Callithrix jacchus: one gene and its partners. The protein of the gene in region 6 interacts with the protein of the main gene of each other region in a pairwise test. Links are inferred from orthologs where the notes say so. Each region holds a gene or a part of one and is shown on either strand. Other genes may lie near its edges.

Region 1 (3,148 bases), about 8.4 Mb from region 6:
CCTTAGACAAGCAAACACCTCAGCCCTCTAATAGGGTACTTCCTGGGGCTGGAATATCCACAGGAAGTCCTGTGAGGAAGAGCTCTGCCAAAACATTCCTTCCAAGGAAGGGACTGGTAAAGTGACAAATATGCCGAATCCTGTACAACATCCTGCATCCTCCATATGTGGTCCCGACTGCAGAGCTCATCCACAGGCAGGTCGCTGCTGACTCTATTCCTTTTCTCTGGGTTCCTGGGATGCATAAATATGACCCTATATAAGAAAACTAGAGGCCAGGCACGGTGTCTCATGCCGGTAATCCTAGCACTTTGGGAAGCCAAGGTGAGCGGGTTACGAGGTCAGGAGTTAGAGACCAGCCCGGCCAATATGGGGAAATCATCTCAACTAAAAATACAAAAACTATCCGGGCGCAGTGGCAGGCACCTGTAATCCTAGCTACTCGGGAGGTTGAGGCAGGAGACTTGCTTGAACCCAGGAGACTGAGGTTGCAGTGAGCTGAGATCTCGCCACTGCACCCAGCCTGGGTGACAGAGCAGGAGTCCGTCTTGAGGAAAGAAGAAAACAAAAGCATACAGATAAAAAGTTGCACTTACAAAGCAGCTGAGTAATTTATTGGCATTAGGAAAGCATTCCTTTAAACAAGGGAGGAGATCCTGAACACACTAGTCTCACTGAGTTTATAAAAACTTGAGCCCACCAAACTCCCCATCATCTCTACACAGCTTAAACCCATGGCCAGGGGCAAGAATTCGAGTTAAATGAATGGAACCAGTCCAGTTACAAGTCGATAAAGGGAAACAGAGCGTGGGGATTTGCAGTTTTTGCTTTTACATTACAAAGTTTCCAACGCAAGAAGCCAACAATACCCCAGAGCAGCACCAAGTTACTTCCCACTGTTTCCCAAGGCACAAAAATCAGTAGTCCAAGTTCTAATAACATTTCCTGGAAAACAAGGACGCACCTCCAGTGGCTCTGTGCACAGCCTGCCCTTGATGTATCAAGTTCTTAAGAACCTACAACCGTCTGACACCCGTGGGGAGAGCACCCTCAGAGAATCCCAGCATCAGGTCTCAGTTTTCCCATCTGTAAAAGACAGCCGTGGAGAGTGGGAGAGCCTCTAGGCTTCCAGATCGAAGTCATCGCGCTCCTCGTTGTACTCCAGCACGTGCCGCTTGATCTTGGACGAGTCGACCCAAGTGACAAAGTCCTCCATGCTGCGCGTGACAAGGAAGGCGGGGTCGGTAACCACGTCAGGGCCCACGCGTATGTGGCCTTGCTCCACAAAAGCCACAGCAGCCTGAAGGTGCTGTGCCATGCGCAGCTTGAGGAGCACGGTGGGAAGGCGGCGGCGGCAGAAGGAGGAGGCCGTGACGAAGTCGCAAAGCTCCAGCGAACCGCGCGTGGGCACCAGGCCGAGAGCATACAGCTTGTCCAGCAGCGCGGCGGAAGCGCGCACGCGGAACGGGTCGCGTTCGGGCAGGTCGCGCAGGCGCCGCGCCAGCTCACGCACGGCACGGCTGAGCTGGTTGTAGCGCGTGTAGTCCTCCCGCCGCTGCAGCCGGTAACGCCGCAGCACGCGCAGCTCGTGTAGGTTGTGATCGGTGACCTCCCAGTTCAGGAAGTCCACCTGCTTCAGCAGCTTCTGCTCGTGGAACTTAAGCTTCCGCACCATGATGGCGGAAACCTCAGCAGCAGGACCCGAGGCTGAGAGCGCGTTCTGACGCCTGCGCGGTTTCTGCCCCAGCGCGCCAAAACCTGGAAGCCTGGGGACCCTGAGCCAATGAAAGAAAAGCTTAGGGTCACGCCCTCACTTCCCATTGGTCAAGGTGAGACCACGCCTCTGCACTGGCATCTCGCGTTTCTTTTTTTCTTCGCGTTTGGTGAAGGAGTGGGTAGATGCACCGGAGGGAGGTGGTGTGGACGGGTACCTACGAGGCTCCGCATGGTTTTTAGTAGCCAAAACTGTTTGTGTAGACATCATTTCCTCCAAGACTAATGCCCTTTGGGGACTGTTACGGTCTTCCGTGCTAGAGCTGAAGAGGCCATTTTTGGGGAAGAGGGGTGACTGTGGCTTGTTGATTGGGTTTACTGTGCTAACTGGGCTCCTGCGGTGCCGTGGGAGTGCTTGCGGGGCGGACTGTCCTGGGGCTGACCTGGTAGTTCCCGCCGGCCGCCAGCGTCAGGTCCTTTTTTTTTTTTTTTAAGACGGAGTTTCTTTCTTGTTGTCCAGGCTGGAGTGCAGTGGCGTGATCTCGGCTTACTGCAACCTCCGCCTCCCCGGTTCAAGCAGTTCTCCTCCCCCAGCCTCCTGAGTAGCTGAGATTACAAGCATGGGCCGCCACGCTGGCTAATTTTGTATTTTTACAAGAGACAGGGTTTCTCCATATTGGGCAAGCTGGTCTCGAACTCCTGATCTCAGCTGATCCGCTCACCTGGCAGGCGGAGTGATTCTTCACTGTCAAGTTGGACCAGGTGGCACCGAACCCATGAAATACTGATTGCCTGGCTGCTTCCTAGGAGCACAGAATCGGAATCTATAAGGGAGCCGCCTGGAAATCTGTATTATTAACGCAACACTTGCGTTATGAATCAGATGATTCGTAAAAAACAGCAAGTTTGAGAAACTTGGACTATAAGTACAAGTCCAAATCCTTTAGTCTGTGCTCAAATGAATTATCTTGACATGCATCTCTGGCCACCAAGCATTGAGTTGGCAAATTTAATGCTGTTTGGGTTAGTTGCATCCGTAAATTAATCTGAGGGTAGCGCTGCAGACCGAACCCCTTTTTGCCCAGGCATTTGACGCCACCTAGCTTCTCTCTGATCATTTTTGTTTGTATTCTTTTTATTGTCTTTTACAATACAATATTTGGGGGCCGGGTGCAGTGGCTCACGCCTGTAATCCCAGCACTTTGGAAGGCTGAGGTGGGAGGATCATTTGAGGCCAGGAGTTCAAGACCAGCCTAGGAAAAAAAAAAAAAAAATCCCGCCTCTGTAAAAAATCTTAAAGAATTAGCCAGGCATGGTAGTGCGTGCCTGTAGTTCTGACTACCTGGGAGGATAAGGGAGAAGAATCACTTGAATCCAGGACTTGTTGGCTGCAGTGAGCTATGATCGTGCCACTGCACCCCAGCTTGCACAACAG
Region 2 (4,550 bases), on a different chromosome or scaffold from region 6:
AAAGATCTCAGCAGCTCCTGTGGGCTCTGTAAAATATTTTTTTAAAAAGCAGACTCCTTTCACACATTGGGATGAACGGCCCTCTTGTTTGGGTGCTGGGCTACAGCAAACGAATGTGTTTGAATTCTAGTATTGCAGAGATTCGTGGTGGTGGGTGCTCTGGAAGAGGCGAGGCTGGATCTCACGGTTTTTAAACTGTATTTTTACCCCTTTGGGACCCATAGCTGTACCCTGGAGTCATTCATGAGGCGAGAGTCCTCTGCATCCTCACTCTCCCACCCAGCCCAGGTGCAGCCCCGGAAGGGGAGCCCTGACCCCGCCTTAAACAACCAACTTTCCCACCGAATCCCATCTGGGGGGGTTTGGGTGCGAAGTGCCCTGGAAACCTATTGTCTTTTGGCTCAGCCAAAAGCAACATCCCCTCTTTCCTTTCCTTCTAGGCTTAGGGGAACTTTCTTAAAAACCATAGTTAGGGTTAAGTCCAAGCCCCGACGCCTGACCTAGGTCCTGCTCTCCTTGTTGAGAAACTAACAGGCTCTTGGGAGGAAAATTTGAATTTGACTCCACCCTCTTTCGGGCAAAGGAGAGGCAGGTGTCACCAAGGAGGGGCAGGCCAGAGGAGGGCGACTTGTGCACAGGGCCCCCCACCCTTGGACCCCGCTGTCCTTTTCTCTTTGTTTACTTGGTGGTGGCAGCCAGCCTGACCTTGTCTGTGGTCTGACTGTTCCTAAGTGTGTAACTTTCAGTATTATCTGTGACAGATGGTTCCGTGGTGAAAAAGGTTTATTATATTCTTTATGGCTGCCTTGTACAAAATCCGTTAGAAACGCTAATGTAAGATACCAGATTTCTAACAAGACAAAAACAGCATTATGGAGTTAAACGGTTTTTACAACTAGTCTTGATTTTGATGTGAGCTGGTTTTTAGCTCTCAAACGTTGTCACTTAAATAAAAACCTTATTTGCCTTTACAATGTGTTTTGCTCTGAATGAAGTTGAGAAACCTTTCCGCTTATACATGTTCTCCCTGGGGTGGGACTGGGGGGCCCCCTGGCTGGGAGCAGCGGTAGATGAGGGCCAGACCCCAAACCACAAATCTATAGCACAGAGTGGTGTGGGAGGGCGGGGGGACGTTGGAGGTTGGCAGTGAAAGGGAACAGATGTCAAAGGCAAACAGTCTTCATTATGAGAAAGCAGTGTTATCTAGGAAAGTCACACGCTGGTTTCTTTCTAATAAAATGACAAAGCACATTTCTTAAATAATTTACAAAGGGCAGAAATTGCTCTTGAACAGGCTACCCCTCCCGGCATACCCACAGCGCTCTGCTTCGAGCATATAAATAGGTACCTGTGAGCCCAGGGTCTTAAGCCTGGAAGTAGCTCCTATGCCCTCCTCTGAGTCCCTGATAGGGAAAGCAGGGATGAGAGTGGGGCCCTCGGGAGCCTTGGCACCAGAAACACAGACAGTGAGTGACTCTGCGGATGACACCCCCAAAACCAGACACCTGGGTACATGGCTAAGAGCTCTCAAACATCGGATGCTAGCACTTCACATTACAGATGAGGCAAATACAAAGCTCAAAGTCAGGTGTATAGAGTTTCTAAGCTCGAGAGTCCCCTGGGAAAGCAGAAGGTACAATTCTCCCCACCTCTGCCAGACACTCTCCCCAAGACACTCTCGGGCTATGGCTGGCAGTCATCGATGGGTCCAGATGTGGCCGGAGCAGGGGGGCTCCAGGCCCCTTGTTAGTCAGGTCCTCATTAGCAGGGGCTCAGGGGTACTGATGACTCCTGCAGACTTCCTCCAGGAAGCGCATGGGGAAGCACAGACATCCTTGGGTGTGAAGCCTTGGCGGTCAGACAGGGCTTGTTTCCTGCAAGACAGAGCTGCCTTTGGGCCCTTCACTGTGCTCCAGGAGGAGAAGCAGGGATGCCTTTCCCTGCCCACTGCAGGGTGAGAGGTGCTAGAAGGTGGCTGAAGCTACTCGGGGCCCCCAGCATGCTCAGTTAGTGATGGGGGTCATGAGGTTAGCTCTGACCTCAAATAGCAGGCAGATACTACTGACTCTGCTGTGCCCATTAGGTCTGTGGGCTTTTTCTTTAACTTACTCATGCGTAAGGTGGAGGAGGACATTGGGAAAGATCTCCGGGGTCGGGGAGGGGGGGCAGTGGGCATTACCTGCAGGCACTTCATCAGCCATGAATGAGAGAGACGATGTCACCACTAGAGAGAAGGGGAGGGATGGATGCCACTGGGTGTGGTGGGCTCTGAGAGGGCCCTCCCAGTCTAGGCTAGACAAGATCAGACCCAGCCTTAGAGTCCATCATGGCCATTATACAAGTGGAATGGGGAAACAGCCCTGAGTTAGGAGACATCCAGAACCAAGGCCCTGCCCCCAGGATGGGGTCATGAGCGGACAGACCAGGAATTCCATAGCAGTCATGTTGCTTTTCCCAATTCCATAGGCAGGGAGGGCACAGAGGAGCCATGGAGAGTTCTGGAGGAAGGGTAGGCTTTTCAGGAATGGAACCAGCCACATGTGAGATTCCAAGTGATGGACAAATGTGGGGGTGCAAGGCCCAGAAGACCACACACATTCAGGGTGCCTCCTTTACCATCACCCCAGTCCAGGTTTTTATCTCTTCTTGTGTTTGAGATAAGGGAGACTGAGGCTCAGAGAGGGGCAGAGACTGGCCAGGGTCACACAGCAGGTCAGAGCAAAACCGGCACCTGCCTGCAAAGATAGCTGGAGGGGCCCTTCCGGCCATTTCACTTTGAAGCATGGGATGCCAACTCACCTCTCTTCTGCCATGATGGCTTCATCTAGCTCTTGGGACAGCTTCTGTAGGTGCTGAATTCCCACCCCCACAGGCTCTAGGTCGCTGTCAGACTCACTGAATGAAAGAAAAACCCACACCAGTGACTAGTTGCAAACCCCTGGTGGGCCTCATACCAGGGTCTGGTCTTTGGGCCTGGATGACCCTGGTGGGCTGGGCTTCACTCTAGACCCTCACTCCAGGAAGTGACCTCAGAGCAAAGAACAGAGAGATCAAGATCCATGAGGCCGAGGTCATGGGCAAGGGATTTTGCAGTTTCCCCACTTGGAAACTGAGCCTCAGCCCTCCAGTTAGAGTCAAAACTTGCTTTTGGGCTCACTAGGAGGCTTGGGTGGGTGTGACTGTGTCAGAGCTCAGCTCAGCTCTTCCTTTACAGACAGGGAAACTAAGGTCCTGGAGGATTGATTGGCTCAGGTCCCTCACTAGCTCTGGGGGCAGAACTGGGTCAGAACGCAGATGTGGAGAGTATTTTTGAAGTGTTCACGAGCCTTATTTTAGCCTCCAGGTTTGCTCCTGCACTGTGCAAAGCCACTCGGTCACTTAAACACGCATCCTGGTGACCACCTGCCACGATGCAGGGGCAGTGGGTAGGCAGCCTTCCCTGGGAGCCCCGAGATGGGAACAGGAAACTAGCTGCCAGGGTCTGCGGACTGGGAACAGCTTCACTCCCTACCCTGCGCCAGGCCAGTTTCTGGGCCTGAGAACTAGAAGATTCTGCAGGACAGGCCAGCTTGATGGGTGGGGCAGAACATCCAGGTGATCTGGACCTCCGCCTTTACTCCTCGACTGCCTACAGGATGTCCCCCATGCTAATCACCAAACCCCTCCGGACCTCCATTTCCTTACCTGTCAAACGGGAAAAACAGAGCCTGCCTTAATCACAGCTCAAGGTTCCTGTGAGACTAAAGAAAGATGCTAGCCTCAAAGAAATGTGGGAAAAATCCAACAGCCCAAAGCTACTAGACAGCCTTAACTAGCACACTACACTACCTTTCCCCCTATAGCTCAGCTGGAAAGTTGAAATAAAACCCTTAGGAATCCAGTTATTGCTTTGTTTTCTCTTTTTTTTTTGAGATGGAGTCTCACTCTGTTGCCTAGGCTGGAGTGCAGTGGTGTGATCTCAGCTCACTGCAACCCTTGCCTCCCAGATTCAAGCGATGCTCCTGCGTCAGCCTCCCAAGTAGCTGGGATTACAGGTGTGTACATCACGCCTGGCTTATTTTATGTTTTTAGTAGAGATGGAGTTTCACCATGTTGGCCAGGCTGGTCTCTTAACTCCTGACTTCAGTGATCCGCCCGCCTCGGCCTCCCAAAGCGCTGGGATGACAGGTATGAGCCACTGTGCCCGTCCTGTTGTCTCATTTTCTAATGAACAAATACATGCCCTGGATCTCTGCTAAAGCAGGACACGCATTTAACAATAAGGATAATAATTACACGCTGTGACTCCACTCAGGGTGCCCCTGGGGCCCAGTTAGTGTCTAGGAGGTCAGAGAGCAGGGATTGTGCCCAGGCTAAAAGGCTACCAGCCCCAGGGTGAGGAACTGTCCTACTTGCCTGGGAGAGCAGAGGGGCTCTGTAGAGGAGTACGGGCTCCGGAAGGCTGCCTCCCGCCTCGACCGCCGTAACGGGCGGGCACATGAGCCCATCTGGGCAGAGAGGCAGTGATGCGCCTTCTCCCAGGGGCCTGAGGGTGAGTAGGCAGGGGTGGC
Region 3 (4,570 bases), on a different chromosome or scaffold from region 6:
GACTGGAGTGCAATGGCACGATCTCGGCTCACCGCAACCTCCGCCTTCTGGGTTCAAGCAATTCTCCTGCCTCAGCCTCCCGAATAGCTGGGACTACAGGCGCGCATCACCATTCCCAGCTAATTTTCGTATTTTTAGTAGAGATGGGGTTTCACCTTGTTGACCAGGATGGTCTCGATCTCTTCACCTCGTGATCCACCCTCCTCGGCCTCCCAAAGTGCTGGGATTATAGGCTTGAGCCACCGTGCCCAGCACTTGTCATGCTCTTAACCATCAGTGTAAGAGGGGGCCAGGCTGAGAGCATATACCTCCAGGAAGCGGGAGTGCAGAGTTTCCTCTGTGATGTCAAGCACTTCGGGGTTGTAGATGCTGCCATTGTCGAACACCTGCTGGATGACCAGCCCAAAGGAGAAGGGAGAGATGTTGAGCATGTTCAGCAGCGTGGCTTCACTGGCTCCCACTTTGTCTCCAGTCTTGATCAGCTGCACATCACTCTGAACAAGAAATGGGGGCAGTTAACACCTGAACATCCAGCAGACCCATGGCCACTAAAAAGCCCCCCATTTGGCTGGCTAGCACAGGCAAACCAGGTCCACTCACCAGGATTTCAATGGTGCCCCTGGAGATTTTGGTGGTGATACCTAAAGCCTGGAAAAAGGAGGTCTTCTCTGGCCCCAGACCGGTGTTCTGGGCTGGCACAGTGACTTCACATGGGGCGATGGCACCAGCACGGGCAGCAGCTGGGACCTGAACAAAGACAACAGTGAGAAAAGTGTCTCCACTGAGAATCGTCCGTTTTGCTTTAAGGAGCAAAGATAAAAGCCTCTTTAGCCAGTCCAGTTGTCCCCTTACCTTATTGGCCAGCAGCATGTCCCTGATCTCAGTGAGGTCCTCCTTGGTGAACACAAAGCCCACATTCCCCCGGATATGAGGCAGGAGTCTGCAAAGAGAAGTTTACGGAAAACAATCACCTTTCAGCACCATTTTCCAGAAAGAGGGAGACTCGCACGGAGGAGGGAGGACGAAGCTGCCCCGGGAACTGACTGACTTCTCCAGAGCTGGGTTGTTTTCCAGGTGCCCTCGGATGGCCTTGCGCATCATGGTGTTCTTGCCCATCAGCACCACGGCCTTCCCGCGGAGGGACATGCGGATCTGCTGCATCTGCTTGGAGCCCACATTGTCTGCTCCCACGATGAAGCATTTCGGATAATCATCCAATAGTTGCTACAAAAAAAGCCAGAGAAAAGCCAAGTTTAACAGGAAGAAAGAGGGGGGAAAAATGCCAGGAGAAACTGAAAAACGCCACAATTTGTTTCCATCTCACTCCCTTTCTGATAGGCTTTTGAAGCAAAAGGGAGATTGGGGCCATTCTTCCCACTAGGAGCTACGTTGTAACACTGCCAAACTGGATGACGATTGCTGGGTAGAAACGGTGAAAATTAGGTTTCTACATTCAATCAAGGAGTTTCTCCTTTAATTTCTTAGTTTTTAACTATTCCCAATTATGAGGCATGTTTGATTCACGAAAATGGTTATAAGAGGATAAAAAAGCACTTTGGAGGCCAAGGTGGGCAGATCACCTGAGGTCCAGAGTTCAAGACCGGCCTGACCAACATGGTGAAACCCCGTCTTTAAAAAAAAAAAAAAAAAGGATAAAAAAGGACTATTCCAAATAAGCTGGTCGAGAGGACGGGTAGATTCACAGCTTTCAAAACACAACACAAGCAAATATGCAACATATTACTTGTAAAAAAAAATCTGGGTGTGGATAATTGGATTTTTGTACAGTTCTTTTGGGTTTTGTGTCTGAAAACCTTCGAAGTATTGGAGAATGTAATACAAGCTATGCTTTACAATGCTGCCTAATTGCTTAAGTGCAGTATGGTCAGTGTTTCTGGGCAAGGGGGACCCACCCAAAAGGCCATCCAAAAGAAGAGTCACTGGACACTTCAGTTTCCTGAATGACAGGTCCTAAATATGCAACAACTTGCTTCCTTACAATGAGTCATTCCTGACCTCAGACCTTCTCAAAGATGGAGTAAAAGTGCTCACACCTGTAATCCAAACACTTTGGGAGGCTTAGGCGGGCACATGACGAGGTCAAGAGATCGAGACCATCCTGGCCAACATGGCGAAATCCCTTCTGTACTAAAAATACAAAAATTAGGAGGGCGTGGTGGCGGGCACCTGTAGTCCCAGCTACTCGGGAGGCTGAGGCAAGATAATCGCTTGAACCAGGGAGGCGAAGGTTGCAGTGAGCCGAGATCGCGCCACTGCACTCCAGCCTTGCGACAGAGATTCTGTCTCAAAAAAATAAAAAAGCAAGCATAATGTGCACTCTTTTGGAAGCCAAACAGACTTGGATATGAATGCTGTCATCTTAGCCACCTGCCTGAGCCTGTTTATCTGCAACAGAGGCGACCTATCTCAGGGAATTGTTAATTAAACAGGATTTTCCTGAAAATGGCCTGATTCAGGAGCCGGAACTGAGGAGACCCTCAGCACTTAGCAGCCGACTGTCCCTATCTGAGCTGGGGAAACATGAAGGGCAGCGGCGACCCAGCCCACACTTACGATGATCTTCAAGAAGTAGTTGGACTTCCAGGTCGCCCTGTCTTCCCTGGGCATCACGGCGGTGCGTCAGGGATTGCCACGCAGGGTTTAAAGACGCTGTCACTGAGGAGAGATAGGGAGCTCAGGCCTGGTCACCCCGGCACCCATCCCCCGGTCCCAGACCTATATGGAGCAGGACACGCGCAAGCGCCCGGCGGCCCGGCCTGGGGCAGCCGCTGCCACCTCGGGGAGTGCGAGCCATCACCGAGGCCCCAGGGGGAGCAGGAGAGGACTCCATGTTCCCAAAAGGCCCCCAAAGATCCCTCCAAGCTTCCCGCCTCTGGCCCCTGGCGCCGATCGGCTTGACGCACAAACCTTCCACGAGGACGCCTGGCGAGAGAAGGGCCGCAGGCTAGAGCGTTCATTTTATATGCGAACAAAGTAGCCAATCAGAAACCGCGGATAAACGCCCCCACTTATTGGCTGGCGACATCGCTCGTTCGACAAAGCCGAACGAATACAAGCAGCCATTGGATAATATTGCTGCCACTTCAGTTAACGGAAGCCGCCTTTAAGTAGGATCGTGAAGGAAGGAGCTGCCTGGCGTTGGAGGCGCTTGCTCTGAGCTGCTGCCACCTGCTGGGCTGGAGCTGCCTTCTTGTAGGCGCTAGAGTAAGCTAATTGGGAGTTCGCTCTGCCACCTGGCCAGCTCAGCAAACTAAACAGCGTGACATGGGGCTGAGACATAATTGCAATGCTTAGAGCAGAATGGTCTCTTGGTTTCTCTAGTTTGTTTTTCCTCCTACCAAAACAGAGGGATACTTTTAAAACCTGGCCGGCCGCGGTGGCTCCTGCCTGTACTCTCAGCACTTTGGGAGGCCAAGGCCAGTGGATCACCTGACACGGTCAGGAGTTCAGGACCAGCCTGGCCAACATGGCGAGACCCAGACTGTCCTAAAAATACAAAAATTAGCCGGCTGTGGTGGCGCATGCCTGTAATCCCAGCTACTGGGGAGGCTGAGGCAGGAGAATCGCTTGAACCCGGGATACAGAAGTTGGCAGTGAGCCAAGCTCGTGCCATTGCACTCCAGCCTGGGCGACAGAGAGAGACTCCGTCTCAAAACAAAACAAAACAAAATTAAAAAAACCCTTAAGTCAGCTCATCTCCTTATCTTCTCAAAACTTTCCGTTTCCTACAGAGTAAAACCTAAAATCTAAACTACCTACAAGGCCCTACCTATCTGCCCGTCATGCCCTCTATAATTATCTCAGATGTTTTCCCTCTGACTTATTTGCTTTCCAGCCAGATGATGCTCTGCTGCTTTTCCAAAGCAGGCTTCACTGGAGGGCTTTTGCATTGGCCATTTCCTCTTCCTAGAAAACTAGCCAACAAACATCCACAGAGTAATTCATCTCCATCAGATCTTTTTTTTTTTTTTTTTTTTTTTTAGGAGTTTCTCTCTGTTGCCCAGGCAGAATGCAGTGGAGCAATCTCAGCTCATTGCAGCCTTGACCTCCCAAGTAGCTGGGACTACAGGTGCACACCACCACGCCTGGCTAATTTTTTGTATAGATGGGATTTCGCCATATTGCCCAGGTTGGTGTCAAACTGCTGAACTCAAGTGATCCTCCCACCCTGGCCTCCTAAATTGCTGGGATCACAGGCATGAGCCACCTTGCCCACCCCTGAGATCTCTTTCTGATGGCCATGTGTTACTGCACGGTTAGCATCATCCTAAGTACTCTGTGCATATTACGGAAGCTCATCTTCACAGCAGTCCTCTGAGGAGATGCAGTCCTGTGTTAGCACTCCCATTTTATCGATGAGAATACTCACAGGAAGGTTAAATAATTTGCCCAGGTCTCTCAGCCAGTAAGTGATGGCTTCAGAACTGAAGTCTAGGAGGAAGTTCGAAGCCCCTGGGACTCAGTGTGCTATACAGTCCCTTCCAAACCCTGAGTCTGCCTCCCTTTGAACGCACTTTTCCAAGTATATACATATGCAAAAGGTACATTT
Region 4 (4,334 bases), on a different chromosome or scaffold from region 6:
GTCTACAAATGAGCCTTGCAGACTGTATTTTGCTTTTAAAATTTAGACTCAGTTTCTCTGACTCCAAACTAGTAAGATTTACCTAAACTTTCTTTAATTTTACTGCTATTGTTAGGTGTTTTTATTTTTAAAATAACAAATGGGCTTTTTTATTTCTAAAATCTTGGGTCAATACTTGAAAAGGAGCCTGTAATAGTTTAAATATCACTTAAACATTAACTCTTACTTTATTCTTAGTCATTTTTATCCATCGATATTCCAAAAAACAAAGAGTACTTTGAAAATAATGTAATCAAGTTGTTTATATAGCATTATTTCTGTATTTAGAAGTGAAAATACTCTTACCACTACCATTCTCCCATTCACCAGCTTTCTCTTTATGGTTGTCTCTTTGCCATCCCATCTCTGCACTTGATTCAGTGATCCTCTCTCCAGGGTTATGATGCTCTGCAAAGAAAAGGTCATGCAATTGACTTGCCTGAGATTTGCTGATCAAAGAAGCAGTTCATTCAGTACCGAATCATTTTTGTAATAGATGTCTCAGTAGGTATACTCCTTTTCATCAGAATAGAGTCTACCCTTTTAAACACTAGCAGGAATATTCCTCTTTCTCAAGCAGCCCACTGGGCCAACTTTGAAGAGAAACATTAAAGATTACCTTGGCCTTTCTATTGTCAGCTGTGGTTTCTTCAAATTCCTGGCCTAGCTTGAAGGAGACCTCTGTATTTTTAAAGGTACTTTCAGTTCGTATAGTTATAATATCTCCTTTCTTGCTGATGATCACACTGGGTTTGGCCAAATTTCCCAGTTTTCTGGTGGCTAACCCCACACCTGAAAATTAAGATAGTGTTAGAATTATGTTGCCCAAGACAGCATACCTGAAGAGACTGTGGTGGCCACATCCTATGCTTGGCGGTGCCCCAGGTGTGTTGATGACAGGTAGTATAACTTATTACTAGGGATCTCCTCCCATGTTTCACTCCCAATGGAAATACATGCCCAGAACCCAAACATTTTAGGTTTTGTTGTTACAGAAGTAATGTCTGCAGATTTTCAAGAGTAAAAGTTTCCAGCTGAAATAATGCATGTCATCCATTTTTATTATATCCAATCCTACTCCCCATTGAAAATTACTAGTTACAGATTTGCATAAATCATTATAGAGATTTTAGTTTGTACATTCAAATACTATAGATATTTTTAAAATGCGACTAAAGCATATACATATTGTTCCATGATATTTTCTCTCAATACTATATTATAGATGTGGAGAAGTACTCCCCTCATATTTTTGATATGGCTCTCACTTCTGAAATTTTGTAGCTTCTTTATCTAGCTGGTAGAAAAAAACTAACCATCTAGCTTTGAAATCTATTACAAATGATCATAGAGAAATAAAATAATTTTAAAAGAAAACTTCTATATTTCAAAAACAAAATTAAACTCTTAACTTTATTACTATTATCACCAAGACTATAAAATATATGGAAAAGGAAAAATGTCAAATAAAAAATATATGAAAGAGAAACTGGTTTCCCAGGACGTCTTAATGCTTGGACATACTTTTTCCGGTTAAAAAGATCCCAAACTTTTATATACTAAATAAGAAGTTAAGCGTTATAGCCAATAAACTATACCCTATATTCTTTCTTCAAATTCTGATTAATCTTTTGCTATTTTAGGACAATGTTTTTCAAGTTAAATCATAATCTCTGGGGCAGAGTCTGAGAATTTATATTTACCAAATCCCAAAATATCCTTTTGCACACTAAAATCGGAAAGCAATGAAATTAGAGAATCCTTCACTGAGACTTTCTCTTACTTGGCTTCTTCCTCAGCTGTAAAGTGAAGTCTTTAAATCTAACAGATCTCCCAGTATGAATTTATGCCCATAAGTTCTCATAGTGTTCCAGGCAACAATGACATTACTTTGCTCATTTTACCTAAAATAGAACGTTTTATACAAGCTTTCTTAACAGCCAAGTAAAGCAGTAGAGACTTTGACAAGTACAGCAACCTTAGGTCACTGGCATTACTCATTGTTATATTTATATAGTTCTGAAGATTCCCCAAAACTCTTCATATCTATTGTGTTATATTAAGGGGACATACTCTAGAAATCATATAAAATAAAGTTGTCGTAACTAGTAACTAGGATTTTCATCGCCATTCACTCCTCCAACTCCAGGAACATCTGACGTTCGTGAAATTGAGTTTGAATTCACTGCCACACCTCCAGTTCTTTTTCTCTCAGTAACTTCCCTAGGCTATGAACATAATATTTTAGGAAGTATTTTTGTTTTTCAAACTCTCCGTATCTACGTGATTGTGTAATAAAGAACAACCTAAAGGTAGAGAGAAAAACCTGTTTAGATCAAAATTAAAATTTTAAATTGAGATTTTCTAGGATCTGCAATATATTCAATTCCTTCTTTTATGAGCACCTAAATTGCTGTAAACCTAGCTCTCAGAAAAGCCGGAAAACAGATTGACCATGCTTTTAAGCTTTCTTTTCTTTGGGTCTGCAACCAAAATTTTGCATGTCAAAAATAGTGCATTTCTTGGTACGAAATTGCCTTTGAAATCAGTGGGAGTTCCATGCATTTAAGTAGCTCTCCCATTTAAGTTAAAGTCTATAAAAATTACCACAAATAAAATGCAAATAAATTATCTGAATGACAGAACAAAAGATTAATCCTAAAAGAGGATTGTACTGCAGGCTGTGCAAACTTCCCCAGTCTCCTGTTAAAGGTGTTAGATGAAAATGTCATGTAGTTTTCTTAAAAACGGACTTTTCAGCAGAACAACAAAGAGCATTTCTTACCCAGAGCTTTCATATAATCATCAAAGTGTTCACTGGAGACAAGTTTCCAGGTGCCCAGGAATTTGTTGCTCATCGTGATGGGTGAGAGCTCAACACAGTTCTAAGTGGGATTCAGGAGATTCAGATAAGATGCTGAGGCCTCAGAAGATTCTTTTCAAGGAAGCCTGGAGCATGTGACTCTTAGAGAGACCCAATGGGGAGAGGCAATGTCAGGACTAAGCAATGAATGGCTTTTCAATGACCAGCTGCCCACCCAATAGGATAAAAGAAAACCCCATATAATACTTCCTTTTGTCTCCAAAAAAATTTATAAAATGAATGAGATTACTATTTGAACCTTCAAAAAATTTTTGATTGATCTTACATTTATAAGAAGGCTTAGGCCCTTCATGCTTTGGAAAAGACTGCATGAATTATTGTCGTGAATGAATGTGTGTGTGTTTAGGCATGTCGTTCACTCTCAATCCTGAGTCTGCACAATTAATTCTTATTGAAAGGGAAGAAAGAGAGGAAAATATCTGTAAGTATTATGATAACAGTCTCAAATATGTTGTGGGAGAGAAATGTAAGGGAGCAGTGTGAGGAAGTATTCATAGGTAAGAAGGCTTGGCATAGTTCACATATCCCAGGCAGGCAGAGTAGGCAGACAAAGAGGTCAGTCTATTGCAGCAGAGCACAGAAATTGTATTCATGTGATGGAACAAGAAGTAGCACTGTAACATGTTCTTTGACCACAGCAAAGATTTTCATCTAAAAATACTTAAAGTCTGAACTAAGGAGGTTTCTGGCAACTATAACCACTTTGTGTTTAAGTCATTTAAAATGAGTCTACAATTTTATAAAAAGAAGATTTTTTATAGAAAGGGTACTAATGTATATTCAGAGCTCATTATGGGCCACTTTGCTAAGTGCTTAGTACAGGTGATCTCATTTAATTATATCACTAACTCCAAGAGTTAGGAACTATTATTATATCCATTTTACCGATGAGAAAAATGAGTTTGAGAGACATTAGATAAATTGCTTCCAAAATATGAATAAGGAGAGGACAGGTTTGAACCCAGCATTGCCACCAGTGCCTAAGTTTTGAACCATGATCTTACCCTGCTTCTATTATATATCATACATACTGCATCCACAGAGGCCCTGGCCAGAGATCACTGATGCTGAGAGCACCACGATTGTCTAGCAACACTCATGCTCGTTTCAAAAATCAAGAGATCCAGTCTACTATATTATGTCGAAACCCCAGTCTTTGACCAAGGGGAACAAATGTAAATCCACTTAGAACATAAGTGTTGCTCTTAAGAATCTCTAATTACTGCTATATCTTTTCCTAGCAGGTTTTTTTAAATTAACCTTAGCATTGATTCTGACTGTTAGACAACTGATATTACCAGGTTTCATACATTTAGTAAACAGGTTGGCACTGTTTATAAGAAAAAAATATGATGAATTTGCTCATTACAGTTAGAATAATTGGCAACGAGGGCTGAGGAAACCCAGTCCC
Region 5 (4,295 bases), on a different chromosome or scaffold from region 6:
CCATTCTTGCTGAGGGCAGGATGCTCTTGCTGGTACCCAGCAGCCAGGCCTGAGACTCAGCCGGGGCCTAACAAAGGTTTGTTAGAGAAATGTGTGAGTTCTGTGACCCCTATTGGCCTGGAAAACTTGGAGTTACAAGCCCAGCATGTGCAGACAGAAGCCAAGCTTCTGTGAGCAGTGCAGGCGTGCTTCATCTTCTGAGCGGTGTCACGGGTAAGGAATGTTGCAAGGTTGAGGAGTGCTTGGTGAGACCTTGTGTTGCAGTCAGGGAGCAGCTCCTCTGTCAGCACTTTAGCCCTCAGTGGGGCCTGTGGGGGCCTGACTGAAAGGTATGGACTTTGTCCTGGGCCACTGAGGAGCCATGGAAAGTCTCTAGGAGGTGGTAGTACATGGGGTCTTTCAGGTTTTACAAGTCTCCAGTGGACCAGAGGGCAAGAGCAAGGCAATGGAGTTGGCGGGGGAGCCAGAAGGAAGGTTCAGGTGGAGACAGGATGGGGGCGTTTCATCCAAGCCTGCAGTGCTGGCAAGGGCTGGGGTTCTGGAGTAGTAGATGCCGGAGGTGATGGGTGAAGGGCATCTCATAGGCCAGGCACTGGAGCTCTGGGAGGTAATGGCTCCTGCAGGGACGCCTTAGCTACAGAGCCCCGCTGGCTGCCTGCCCACCCACTCCACTCAAGAATGACAGTCATTTGTTTAGCTGTTTGTATTTTCTGGGTTTATTCCCCCTTGTTCCAAGCTCTAAGCCTCAGCCTATTTTACTCCACCTCCATAGCCTGCACGGTTTCCTCCAGTAGCTCCAGAGTTAGTGGCTTCACTGTCTGGGTCAGGACAGCTGTGGTTCCAGGCACAAAGTGGTAGTGACCAGACCTGGGAGGAGGGACAGCTTCTGAACATGAGCCTGTCATGTGGCCCATCCCCTTCTTGCAGCCCCCATCTCTCCTGCTATGGCTCCACACATCCCTATGGTCCCCCACCTCCAGCTCTCACCTCTTCACAGGCTCTGTGGGCGAGCTCAGTGTCCTCAGTAGCTTGGCGCCTGACTTCGTGATCACACATGCATCCACATTGCCCCCGGAGCCCAGGTCACCCAAGATTCCTGCGGTGATGGCTTCCACCAGCAGCCCCTGAGCAGCCTCCAGCTGCAGTGATGGATGTGTGAGGCCTAATGGGCCCTCTGCTGTTAATTTAGGCTACAGCTTGGGGACTTGCCTGTCCACTCACCCAATCTGGTCTTGCTCCCCCAACCCTCGCTGTGTTCCTCCCTGTCTTTGGGGAGACATACATCACCTGCTTCTATCCTAGCCCAAACAAAATCTGGGCTCCAGACATTGATATAAATAGGACCCTACTGGTCCTCCCCTTCACCCTCGGTTCCAAAAGATCCTCTGTGAGCTTCGACTGCTCCCAGTCATCCAAGCTTTGGTATTGGACGGTGTGGTGTAGGGATCAAACTTCTCTGCTCTTACTCCACTCACCCTTCAGTGGTCACCTCCTCCGACGAGCCTTCCCCCACCTCCACACTGGGTCAGGGTCCTGTGCTCCCCCAGCTCCCAGGTGCACATCCCACCAGCGACCAGATAGTGGGGAACAGAGGCTGCTCACCGTCATGTCCGGCTGGAACCGGTCTTCTAGCACCGCCAGGGCCGCGTCCTGGCCAGAGCCTGAAGGCAGGAGAAGCATCTGAAGTCAACGGCTGCCACCCGGTTTGGAGTAGAAGCCTGAGGCCAAGGTCACAGGGACAGGGTTCGAGGAGAAGGGACAGAAGCGCTCACCCAGGGCCGTGAAGAGCATACGGCTGTAGGAGCCATGGGGATGTACACCGTAGAGCTGCGGTCCAGTCAGATCTACGCCGCCCACGATCAGCGATGCACCCACGTGGCCCTGGTACCTGCTCGTAGATGGGCGGAGTCGGCCACAAGCGGGGCCCAGGCCTCGGCCCTCTATGCCCCACCCAGGGGTGCTATCCCCGCCCCTTCCTGTGGCCTGGAGCTCGATAGCTGACTTCGCCTCTTCCCGTAGCCCAGCTTCTTAGTCCGGCCTCTTCCGGTCACCTGGCCCGTCACGGCCCCGCCCTCCTTTTGTTCCGCTTTTTTTATTGGCCCTGCCCCTGCAACGGCCACTCGCGGGGTCCTGTTAGCCTCGCCCTCGCACCGGAAGAGCGTCTGGCGCAGGATGCGGGTGACTGTGGGCACGCGGGGCTCGCGGCCGGTGGATAGCGCGTGTAGCTCCATCTTGGACCCCACCATTCGTGTAATCATTTCGGTGTCCGCGGCTACTCCAGCCCCACAGCAGCTGAGGGGAAAAAGGAGGATTGGCGTGGGCAGGGCTAGGACGTGCGGGGACCGGAGTAGGAACGAAGGGGCGGTTCTTTTTTGCGTGCCGGAACTAGGCTAGGGGAGTCTCACTAGATTTTGGGGGCGATGAAGTGGATTTTCTCGCAGCTCTTGTCCGCCACTACAGAATCATTAGTGGCTCGCGTGTCGGCGCCCAGAATGACCCCGTCCTGAGGAGAGGGAGGGACCGCAGCCTCAGTGCCTGCTTGATGCTCCTGGCTCCCCTCCAGCTCCCCCGTCCCTCCCCGCGGCTTACTTGGAACACAAGGCCCGCGATGGTGGTACCGGTCTTGCGTGCATGAGGGACCTTGAGTCCCGGGAGGACGCGTTCCAAGGATGCATTTCTGGAAAGGGAGGAGGGGGCGCAGGTTTCAGCTCTACTTCCAAGACCCCTGTTGCTTCCCCTAACCCGGTCCCAGTCTCCCTCATCTTCTAGTGTAAGCCTGGAACCCGTCGCTGAACACACCCTCCCCCACCCCCAACCAGGAAAAAAGGCCACGACCAAGCAGAGGCGGCTTGGGAGCGACCCTCCCCTTCACCTTTGGCAGTTCTCGAAGGAGAAACCCCCTCGGGTCTCCAGGGCTGGCTCCAGCATCTTGGGGCAGGCAGAGCCGATTAGGGGTCGCGGGCAGATGGGTGGGTCAGACAAGTGGGGCCAGTGAGGAGCTGAAAAGCCCTCTGCTAGGCTCCACGTCTGTCCTTTCTACTTTCACTTTCGCCTTTACCCTTCCTCAAAGTCCCCTGGCGGTTTTCGGCATCTTCTCTTTCACTTTCGGCTTTATGTGTGGCTCTGAGCATTTTGGGTACAGGATGATGTCCCTTGCTGGACCCTTTGTGCTGCTCATCGGGTCCTCCGTTGAACAGAGGAACAAGTCTCTTCCCTTCTGGACATTGTTTAGCTTTTCCTTCTGCTCCATCTGAGCCCCCGGCTCTTACCCCAGCCTCAACTCTGATTTCCAGTCCCAACACCCGAAGGCTGTCAGAGCCTTGGCCAGGTTTCTGCATTGTTGCTGGCTAACCAGTAGCATCAGGAGTGGCTGACTTTTGTTCCTTGTCACATTTCTTCCAACTCTTGCCTCTTTTGTTGCGTTTACTCCTCTGCGAAACCTCAAACAGAGGCTCAGTTAGCCGCAGTGATACTGGTCTTTCCATCTTCCCTGTCTCAGGTGCCATCTTCCCTCTCTCAAGAGGAGCACTGTGGCTGCTGGTTTCCACTCATGGCCAAGCCTTGTTATTTCATCTCCCAGTGACCTCTTGTCCGTAGACATCTTCTAGCACTTCTCATCTCAGCTAGCATCTTCTCCCACACTGACATTGCACTGGCCTCCCTGGTTACTTCGCAATTTTTGCCCCTCACCTCAGGCTACACTTTACCCTGCAGAGAGTCTTTCTAAATTGGAAATCTGGCACACTCTCTGGTTTAAACCCTTCAGCAGGTCGGGCCTGGTGGCTCACCACTGTAATCCCAGCATTTTGGAAGCCCAGGAGTTCGAGGCCACAGTGAGACATGGATCACGCCATTGTACTCCAGCCTGGGCAATAGACCCTGTCTCAAAGCGGGGGGCGGAGGGGAAGATTTGGGTGCTCGCGTAGGCAGCACATATACTAAAATTGGAACGACACAGAGATTAGCATGGCCCCTGTGCAGTGCAAGGATGACATGCAAATTCGTGAAGTGTTCCATATTTATTTTTTAAAAGTTACTAAAATTTTAAAAAGAAGTTTTAAAAAAAAAGATTTGGGTTTGAGCCTAAGAGCAGCATGCAGCTGCTGAAGTGTTTACTTTTTCTTTTTATTTTGAGGGAGTCTCACTCTGTTGTGATCTTGGTTCACTGCAACCTCTGCCTCCCAGGTACAAGCAGTCTTCCACCTCAGCCTCCTGAGTAGCTGGGATCGCAGGCACACACCACCATAGCTGGCTAATTTTTTTTATGCGTGTATGTGTGTATATATATATGTATG
Region 6 (4,427 bases):
ATGTGGTCCAGATTGGTGCCAGTCTACAAACTGTTTGTGACCAGTCAGGGATGAGATAAGGACAGTGACTGAGAGTGTTTAGAAACTTTTATGGCAATTTGACATTTCTTCAACATCCAAGCACATAATTTTATTAAAGTATCAATCCATACAGATTGAAATTTTAAAAAAACTCATCTTTTAGTAGGACTAAAGTGGTGAGATCCCAAGAAGACAATGATGATTCATGTGTATATATATGTGTGTGTGTGTATACATACATGTATATACAATTTGAATATATTTATATACATGAATATTTGTACATATTTCAAATAAATCCATATTCTAATTTTTCATCTATGAGTATAACTACTATCCTGAGCATGTATAGAAAATCAGTTCTATGCTGCCTCCTCATGGTATCTTACTTGCAGTGAGTTTTAGCAACAAATCCCAAGTGTATTTGAAAGAAACAGGTTAGCAGATAAGAAAAATAATATTAACTACTCTTTTTGAAATAAGTAGTCTATTTCCATGATCTTTTAAAGTGCTCTCATACAAATCATCTCGTTTCCTTGTTGCAGATCTCAAAGGTAAGCCAGGCACAGTGGCTCACACCTGTAATCCCAGCACTTTGGGAGGCTGAGGCATGTGAATCACCTGAGGTCAGGAGTATGAGAACAGCTTGGCCAACATAATGAAACCCTGTCTCTACTAAAAATACAAAAATTAGCCGGGCATGGCGGTGGGCACCTGTAATCCCAGCTACTTAAGAGGCTGAGGCAGGAGAATTGCTTGAACTCGGGAGGTGGAGGTTGCAGTGAGCCAAGATCTTGCCACTGCACTCCAGACTCAGAGACAGAGTGAGACTGTCTCAAACAAACAAACAAACAAAACTCAAAGGTATATAGGGGGAGAGAGTTTATCATTGTAGGTACACATAGCAGAAGATATTTATATTCTTTCCAAACACCTGTATATATAGACTGATAAAATTGAAACTATTGACTGAAAATCAAATAAAGCAATGAATATGCCATTTTACAAGAATCTTACTCCCATATTAAGGATACACAGCTCTAGAAAAACTGAGCATAGAGCATAGCTGGTCATAGCCAACATGTTTACTTTCATTAGTTTTATCACAAAGGAATACTTAAAATGCATAAATTCTTTGTTCTAGCAATTCCACTTCTGGGATTTTTTTTCTCCTTATATACACACATAAACAGAATTAGGTAATTCATCACAGAACTGTTTGCAGTAATTGTAATTTGGAAACAGCTTAAATGTCCACATATAGTACTGCTTAAATTATGTTTATATCTACTCTATTGAATACCATGCAGTCATGACAAAGAACTGAGCAACTTTATAGGTACTGCTAAGAGTTGATTTCCAAGACATATTGTCAATTTCTATAAAGAAAGGTCCCAAACAGTGTTTATGGTATCTTATCATTTGTGTAAAAAGAAGCTGACATATACAGATAAATGTACATGAATGTATATATGCACAGAATATATGTGGAATAATGCAAAAGGAACTGGGGGAGACAAAAATGAGAAAGTGGGTGGGAAGATAAACTTTTAGTATACTTTACTTTGATCTCTTTTGAATTTTATACTGTCTACATGTTACTGCTTAAATATAAAAAAATTCAATATAAAAAGGTTATTATGTAGTATAACAGAATAAGTATAGCTTAGACATCAGGTAGATCTTGATATAAATCCTACCTCCCTTGGTTTTTAAAAAAATCTTAACCTGTGCATCTGAGCCTGCTTGCTCATCTGTCTGATGGCCATCAAGTATGTGAAAACACCCAGCAAATAAAAAGTGCTTAAAAAATTATCGGAAAGGAAAACAACCAGGGTGAACTTCTGATTGAATCAATATTTAGAAGACCTGCCTACTCCGCGTCAGGAACTGCACTTTGCAATTTGGTCTTCACATAATCGGGTGAAGGAAAAACTGTAACCTCATTGGACAGATGAAGATAAATCTGGCATGCATGTAAAAGGTGGAAAGAAAATGAGAGGATTCCTAAATGTGTAACTCAGCAGCACAAGGACTCCAGGAAAGTGAAGCCCACCTGTGGAGATGGCAGTGGAAACTGAGAGAAGACTGTGGTCAGAGTCGTGGCTTCCCTTGACACCATCACAGCTGTCTCATCTGGGGGGTGGCAGAGGGAGAGGCAGGTGCCAATATGTTAGTGCTGCACGGACTTGGAAGAAGCGCGTTCCCTTACCGACCGAGACTTCTCAAAAACATCTCCCAATGTCGATGTTAGAATTCTATTTCACTCCCTCAGGTGCCGAGGTGGATAAGGCATCCCACAGAAAGGATGCAGCGGGGGAGGGCAGTCACCTCCCGCGGTGGGGAGTAGGAGGGAAAGGGGTTGGAACGCTAGAGAAGCTGAGGCAGGGGAGCCCGGACAGAAGGCGCACTCACTGAGTCTTCTCCAAAACATCTCTCGATTAAACTCCTCAGTAGTCTCCTGGGCTTCGCCGACTGGTGGGTGTGGCGTTGGGGGGCCGAACGGTGGCAAATAGAAAAGCTGAGGTAAGCGGAGCCACCTCCCTCGCCCGAGCCCGGCCTCTACCCGACCCGGAGCCCGGCCTCTCCCAGACCCCGAGCCCGCCCCTGCCGTCGCCCGTTCCCACTCCGTAAGCTCACCCCGCACTCGAGGCAGGAGCAACCGCAGCTCCACTGCCAAGTGCCGGAGCTGCTCCAAAGGCGGAGCCAAGGTGGGGACTGCGGTTGCAGGTGCCCCTGCGCTCGCCATCCTCGTCGCTCGCAGAAGGCCGCAAACACAGGCCTCTGCCGCCGCAGCGGGAGTCGCACTGTGACAGCCGCTCTACTTCCGGGTCGCTGCGTCTGGGACTCCTTTCCGGCAACAAGCCGCCCCGCCCCGCCCCAGAGACCCGGCCCCGCCTCCTCTTGCCCCACCCGACCCGGATCCCAGAGGTCCCGTACCTTCCATTCCATTCTCAGACACCAGGCCAGGCCCCGCCTCCTCCTCCCGCCCCACCCCGCCCGGCTCCCAGAGGTCGTGTACCACCCATTCCATTCTCAGACGCCAGGCTAGGCCACGCCTTCTCTCGCCCCAGAGGCCCCGCCACACAAGAAGGCTCCGGCCCAAGGTATTTATTATTCATCATTCATTCATTTATATAATTAGTTGAAAACACTTCCGACTAAGGAACCAGAGAGCCCGCAATCCTGTGGGAAAATAGACCAGGGAACTCGTATCTCAGAGGTAGTCGGGGTCGGATCCAGATCCTCACAGGTTCCCTGTCCCTGAAACTGCGCCTTTGACAGCTGCTGAATTCTAAGCACAGCGGTAGATGCTTTATATGGGGTAGCCATAAAAAACACACTGGGTCTCAGATACTCCCATACACACACACCCAACCCCTACCCTGTGGGTGTCCTAGATGAGGGTTTTCTCTTCACCATAGTAAATCAACCCTTTACCTCCTTGGGGAGGGAAGGAATAAAAGCATCATTTTTGAGACTTTTCTGCAGTCCACTCTGCAGGTTATCAGTAGTGGGTAATCCCTCCAACATCCAGGAGTCCAAGGAGCAGCAGCTCCCTAAACTCACCCACTAATACTGGCCTTCCACCTACTACCGGGGTGGAAGCCTGGGCTACATACACAAAGGCTGGGCTTCTGCCCAGCTGCCAGTGGTGAGACATGGCCTTCAGGAGTTCAGGTGGCTTTTTAACTGCACCATGAAGATTCCAAGCTTGGTGGGGTTCAGTGTCCACACACAACGAATGAGAACAGGTGTCGACAATGTCAACCAAGTCCGCAAAGGGGAGAATAAAAAAGCTAGGGTGCCGTATGTTGCATAAAGAAAGTAGCAGGAATAAACCTGCCAGATGTACAGCAGCAGCATAAGTAGGTGAACTGGCATAATTTTTAAGTATTTTCTTTGATGGAGATGAGACCTGAAGTTGTGACCAAAGCACCGCTGCAGCAAGCTCCAACATATGTAAGCCATCAAGGGGATGTTAAAAAACGCCAACTGGAAAAGAACAGAAACATAGCTTACTCCCAAGTCTTTGGAAGAGTTTGGTCTTAATAATGCGTTACTGATGGATTCTAAGAATATGCTGCTTTCTGTCTTGGGGTTAGCTAATTATGCTTCAAGCACAGTTGCTTATAACACAACAGCTAACCTGCGCCTAGTTGTGTATTTGCCCATGTCCTTTTATTCACTTTGAAAGCAGGTATCATTTAATTTATGTTGAGGTCCCAGTGGTGTTAAGCTGGAATTGAACTAAATGTATACACACACATTATACATACAACACATATACATACAACAAAAGGTCCATTATAGAGCTTATGCATTCTAACAGTGAGAAGAAAGACCAAAAAAATAAACAAAACAGATAATTACAGATGGTGATTAGTTCAGTGAAGGAAATAACT
Region 7 (2,734 bases), on a different chromosome or scaffold from region 6:
ATCGCTTGAACCCAGGAGACAAAGTGGCAGTGAGCCAGGATTGCACCACTGCACTCCAGCCTGGCGACAGAGGCTCCATCTCAAAAAAAAAAGGGAGTAAGTTGACTAAAAATGTTTTTTTTTAATAAAAAGCATAATGAAACAAGTTTGTAACTTATAATTTTATACAAATTATAAAATTTATGCACTTGTGTATATGTACCATGACATAACTAATTTTTTGAACAAGTTTTGAGACAATCCTTATTTTTGAGAAAAGCTAGACCTGTTACATAATCTGTGGGTTAGGGTATGCTCCTGTCAGCACGCACCAGGTACACTCTAGCTTTTGTAGAGAAAGTAAAATCTAGTGTTGAGAAAGTAAGTGGACTGAGCCAGGCAGCATATTTAATATAAAAGGACTAATTAATTTCAGGGTAGCTGTGGCACCCTTTCCAAAGTTCTAATTTTCTAGCCCCTTGCCTGATCCAGCTGATTCCAAAAACCAAGATTTTAGTCTTGGTTGGCTTATTTAAATGCTTTGGGCTTTCCTTTAATGTATCCTCAAAGTCATTCTGGGCCCAAGTTACATCATCAAACCTTTTATTACATATAAGGGCTGAAACAGAATTTTTCTGAACTGCGTATCATGTCCCAGAAATGCAAATACGAAACCTCGACGGTGGTTGCAGGAACAAGTCCAGCTGAGGCAGGTCAGAGAGGAAACAAAAGATGAGTAACTGACTGGCATTCAGGGTACTGGAGCCACGCCCTCCAGATCTCCGCTGGAAAGAACCTCGAACCTCAGGACCCCACTGTATGCCATGAAGAAGGTGCAGTCGTTGCCTCAGCCAAGCCAGGCTCCGCCGGGGCCCGGGCCGTTCCTATCTTGAGGGTCGGAGGAGGGGACTCAGCCAAAGCCGCGGCCTCCCAGGGCTTGGGCCTCCGCGGGAGTCGGGACGCCGTGGGTTCGCCGTGGATCGCCGCGATGTGGCGTCTCTCTAGGCCCGGGATCTCCTGGCCCTGCTGAACCAGATGCAGGAGCTGCGACAGAGTAACCGAAGCAGAGGCCGGGGCCGGGGCCGGGGCCGAGCGGCGGGGACTGCGGGGACGCTCCATGTCGGGTCGCGAAGCCTGACGGGCTTCCGGACTGAACGGGTGCAACTACCACGGGGCGAGGGGGGGAGGAAGGGGAGGCTGTAGACCGTACCAAGCCGGCCCAGAACTGGGGGAGCACTTGAGAGCTCTGACCCAGCTTCCTGCAGAAACGCTTTAGACGCGTGCACGATTTAGCCAAACCCAGAGTGCCCAACGTAGAATGTGCTTTAGAAGAAAAAGGGACGGACGCGTCAAAACCTGAAGGCTAGCACAGGACGGAACATGCCTGCGGACGCGCCGCTGCAGGCAAAAAGACCCATACATGCATAGGCACCGTGCACATGCCCACTTTTGTGCACACCCACAGGCGCGCTTACAGGGATTCAGGTACAACACATGGCGGGGAATAATCCCCATTCTAGGCCCCGCAGCACTGGACAAAGCATGACTGTAGAGTTGTTCCAAGGGGCCTCAGGAGTGACGCCGCCACCAAGCTACGCTACTCTCTTATTATTATTTTGAGACGAAGTCTCACTCTGTCGCCCAGGCCGGAATGCAGTGGCACGATCTCAGCGCACTACAGCCTCATCTCAGCTCACTGCAACCTCCGCCTCCTGGATTCAAGTGATCCTCCTGCCTCAGCTTCCCTAGTAGCTGGGATTACAGGTGTACGCCACCAAGCCCAGCTAATTTTTGTGTTTTCAGTATAGACGGAGTTTCACCATGTTGGCCAAGCTGGTCTCGAACTCCTGACCTCAAGTGATCCCCCAGCCTCGGCCTTCCAAAGTGCAGGGATTACAGGTGTTAGCCACCGCACCCAGCCAGAGCCACATCACTCTCTTCACACTTCCTGCCATTCTTCAAATCCTGGTACTCCCAGAGAAGATAGAAAGTGAAGGCAGGTCAGATGTGCTACAGTTGCTCTGACTGCTTGGAAAATCAGGTTTTTAAATTATCAAAAGCGGCCAAGGAGCGCAGTGGCTCACGCCTGTAATCCCAACACTTTGGGAGGCCAGGGTGGGTGGATCACGAGCTCAGGAGTTTAAGACCAGCCTGACTAACATGGTGAAACCCTGTCTCTACTAAAAATACAAAAAGTAACTCATTGTGGTGGTGCACACTTGTAATTCCAGCTACTCAGGAGGCTGAGGCAAGAGAATCTCTTGAACGCCGGAAGTGGAGGTTGCAGTGAGCCAAGATCACACCACTGCACTCCAGCCTGGGCAAGACTCTGACTCAAAAAAAAAAAAATTTTTTTATCAAAAGCTAGACTGATCTGGTGAATCTTAATCAAAGAATCAAAGCTTAATGGCCAGGCATGGTGGCTCACACTTAATATCCCAACACTTTGGGAAGCAGAGGTGGGCAGATCACCTGAGGCCTGGTGACAAAGCGAGACTCCGTTAAAAAAAAAAAAGTACAAAAAATTAGCTGGGCATGGTGGTACCTGCCTGTAATCCCTACTACGTGGGAGGCTAAAACAGGAGAATCACTTGAATCCAGGAAGCAGGGAGGTTGCAGTGAACTGAGATCATATCACTGCACTCCAGCCTGGGCAACAAAGTGAGACTCAGTCTTAAAAAAAATAATAATAGGACAAACTGGCCTCATGTGCCTCCTGATATGATGCACTGGCATTGAGAAGGACACAGCATTA

The links.
Region 1: the proteins of CCNDBP1 (region 6) and U3 small nucleolar ribonucleoprotein IMP3 interact in binary tests that used the Homo sapiens proteins (3 or more experiments, as listed by UniProt). The two-hybrid records come from large-scale screens. The link is inferred for Callithrix jacchus from reciprocal best matches to the Homo sapiens genes CCNDBP1 and IMP3.
Region 2: the proteins of CCNDBP1 (region 6) and PIMREG interact in binary tests that used the Homo sapiens proteins (3 or more experiments, as listed by UniProt). The two-hybrid records come from large-scale screens. The link is inferred for Callithrix jacchus from reciprocal best matches to the Homo sapiens genes CCNDBP1 and PIMREG.
Region 3: the proteins of CCNDBP1 (region 6) and RPLP0 interact in binary tests that used the Homo sapiens proteins (3 or more experiments, as listed by UniProt). The link is inferred for Callithrix jacchus from reciprocal best matches to the Homo sapiens genes CCNDBP1 and RPLP0.
Region 4: the proteins of CCNDBP1 (region 6) and PMP2 interact in binary tests that used the Homo sapiens proteins (3 or more experiments, as listed by UniProt). The two-hybrid records come from large-scale screens. The link is inferred for Callithrix jacchus from reciprocal best matches to the Homo sapiens genes CCNDBP1 and PMP2.
Region 5: the proteins of CCNDBP1 (region 6) and PSMB10 interact in binary tests that used the Homo sapiens proteins (3 or more experiments, as listed by UniProt). The two-hybrid records come from large-scale screens. The link is inferred for Callithrix jacchus from reciprocal best matches to the Homo sapiens genes CCNDBP1 and PSMB10.
Region 7: the proteins of CCNDBP1 (region 6) and PEX39 interact in binary tests that used the Homo sapiens proteins (3 or more experiments, as listed by UniProt). The two-hybrid records come from large-scale screens. The link is inferred for Callithrix jacchus from reciprocal best matches to the Homo sapiens genes CCNDBP1 and PEX39.

Annotation. Positions count from the first base shown.
Region 1 is NC_133509.1:22,563,238-22,566,385, forward strand, and holds U3 small nucleolar ribonucleoprotein IMP3, read right to left. Parts: upstream 1,732-3,148; 5' UTR 1,676-1,731; coding exon 1,121-1,675; 3' UTR 587-1,120; downstream 1-586. UniProt on the Homo sapiens protein: Component of the 60-80S U3 small nucleolar ribonucleoprotein (U3 snoRNP). Required for the early cleavages during pre-18S ribosomal RNA processing. Part of the small subunit (SSU) processome, first precursor of the small eukaryotic ribosomal subunit.
Region 2 is NC_133506.1:108,004,330-108,008,879, reverse strand, and holds the end of PIMREG (protein PIMREG), read right to left. Parts: coding exon 4,392-4,550; intron 2,892-4,391; coding exon 2,800-2,891; intron 2,225-2,799; coding exon 2,194-2,224; 3' UTR 2,180-2,193; intron 1,875-2,179; 3' UTR 766-1,874; downstream 1-765. UniProt on the Homo sapiens protein: During mitosis, may play a role in the control of metaphase-to-anaphase transition.
Region 3 is NC_133510.1:123,328,125-123,332,694, forward strand, and holds the start of RPLP0 (large ribosomal subunit protein uL10), read right to left. Parts: upstream 2,958-4,570; 5' UTR 2,925-2,957; intron 2,677-2,924; 5' UTR 2,629-2,676; coding exon 2,575-2,628; intron 1,225-2,574; coding exon 1,049-1,224; intron 941-1,048; coding exon 853-940; intron 748-852; coding exon 601-747; intron 495-600; coding exon 309-494; intron 1-308.
Region 4 is NC_133517.1:45,253,892-45,258,225, reverse strand, and holds the start of PMP2 (myelin P2 protein), read right to left. Parts: upstream 2,951-4,334; 5' UTR 2,898-2,950; coding exon 2,825-2,897; intron 832-2,824; coding exon 659-831; intron 448-658; coding exon 346-447; intron 1-345.
Region 5 is NC_133521.1:25,466,052-25,470,346, forward strand, and holds PSMB10 (proteasome subunit beta type-10), read right to left. Parts: upstream 3,045-4,295; 5' UTR 2,929-3,044; coding exon 2,873-2,928; intron 2,678-2,872; coding exon 2,590-2,677; intron 2,504-2,589; coding exon 2,406-2,503; intron 2,293-2,405; coding exon 2,152-2,292; intron 1,889-2,151; coding exon 1,773-1,888; intron 1,662-1,772; coding exon 1,603-1,661; coding exon of another isoform or gene 1,486-1,602; exon of another isoform or gene 1,476-1,485; intron 1,140-1,475; coding exon 988-1,139; intron 868-987; coding exon 756-867; coding exon of another isoform or gene 751-755; 3' UTR 689-750; downstream 1-688. UniProt on the Homo sapiens protein: The proteasome is a multicatalytic proteinase complex which is characterized by its ability to cleave peptides with Arg, Phe, Tyr, Leu, and Glu adjacent to the leaving group at neutral or slightly basic pH.
Region 6 is NC_133509.1:30,924,001-30,928,427, reverse strand, and holds the start of CCNDBP1 (cyclin-D1-binding protein 1), read right to left. Parts: upstream 2,836-4,427; 5' UTR 2,771-2,835; coding exon 2,662-2,770; intron 2,497-2,661; coding exon 2,437-2,496; intron 2,158-2,436; coding exon 2,078-2,157; intron 1-2,077. Other genes in the region: TMEM62 (transmembrane protein 62), read right to left, coding at 3,691-4,017. UniProt on the Homo sapiens protein: May negatively regulate cell cycle progression. May act at least in part via inhibition of the cyclin-D1/CDK4 complex, thereby preventing phosphorylation of RB1 and blocking E2F-dependent transcription.
Region 7 is NC_133505.1:51,396,658-51,399,391, forward strand, and holds PEX39 (peroxisomal biogenesis factor 39), read right to left. Parts: upstream 1,119-2,734; 5' UTR 1,099-1,118; coding exon 784-1,098; 3' UTR 569-783; downstream 1-568. UniProt on the Homo sapiens protein: May be a peroxin involved in the PTS2-mediated protein import pathway.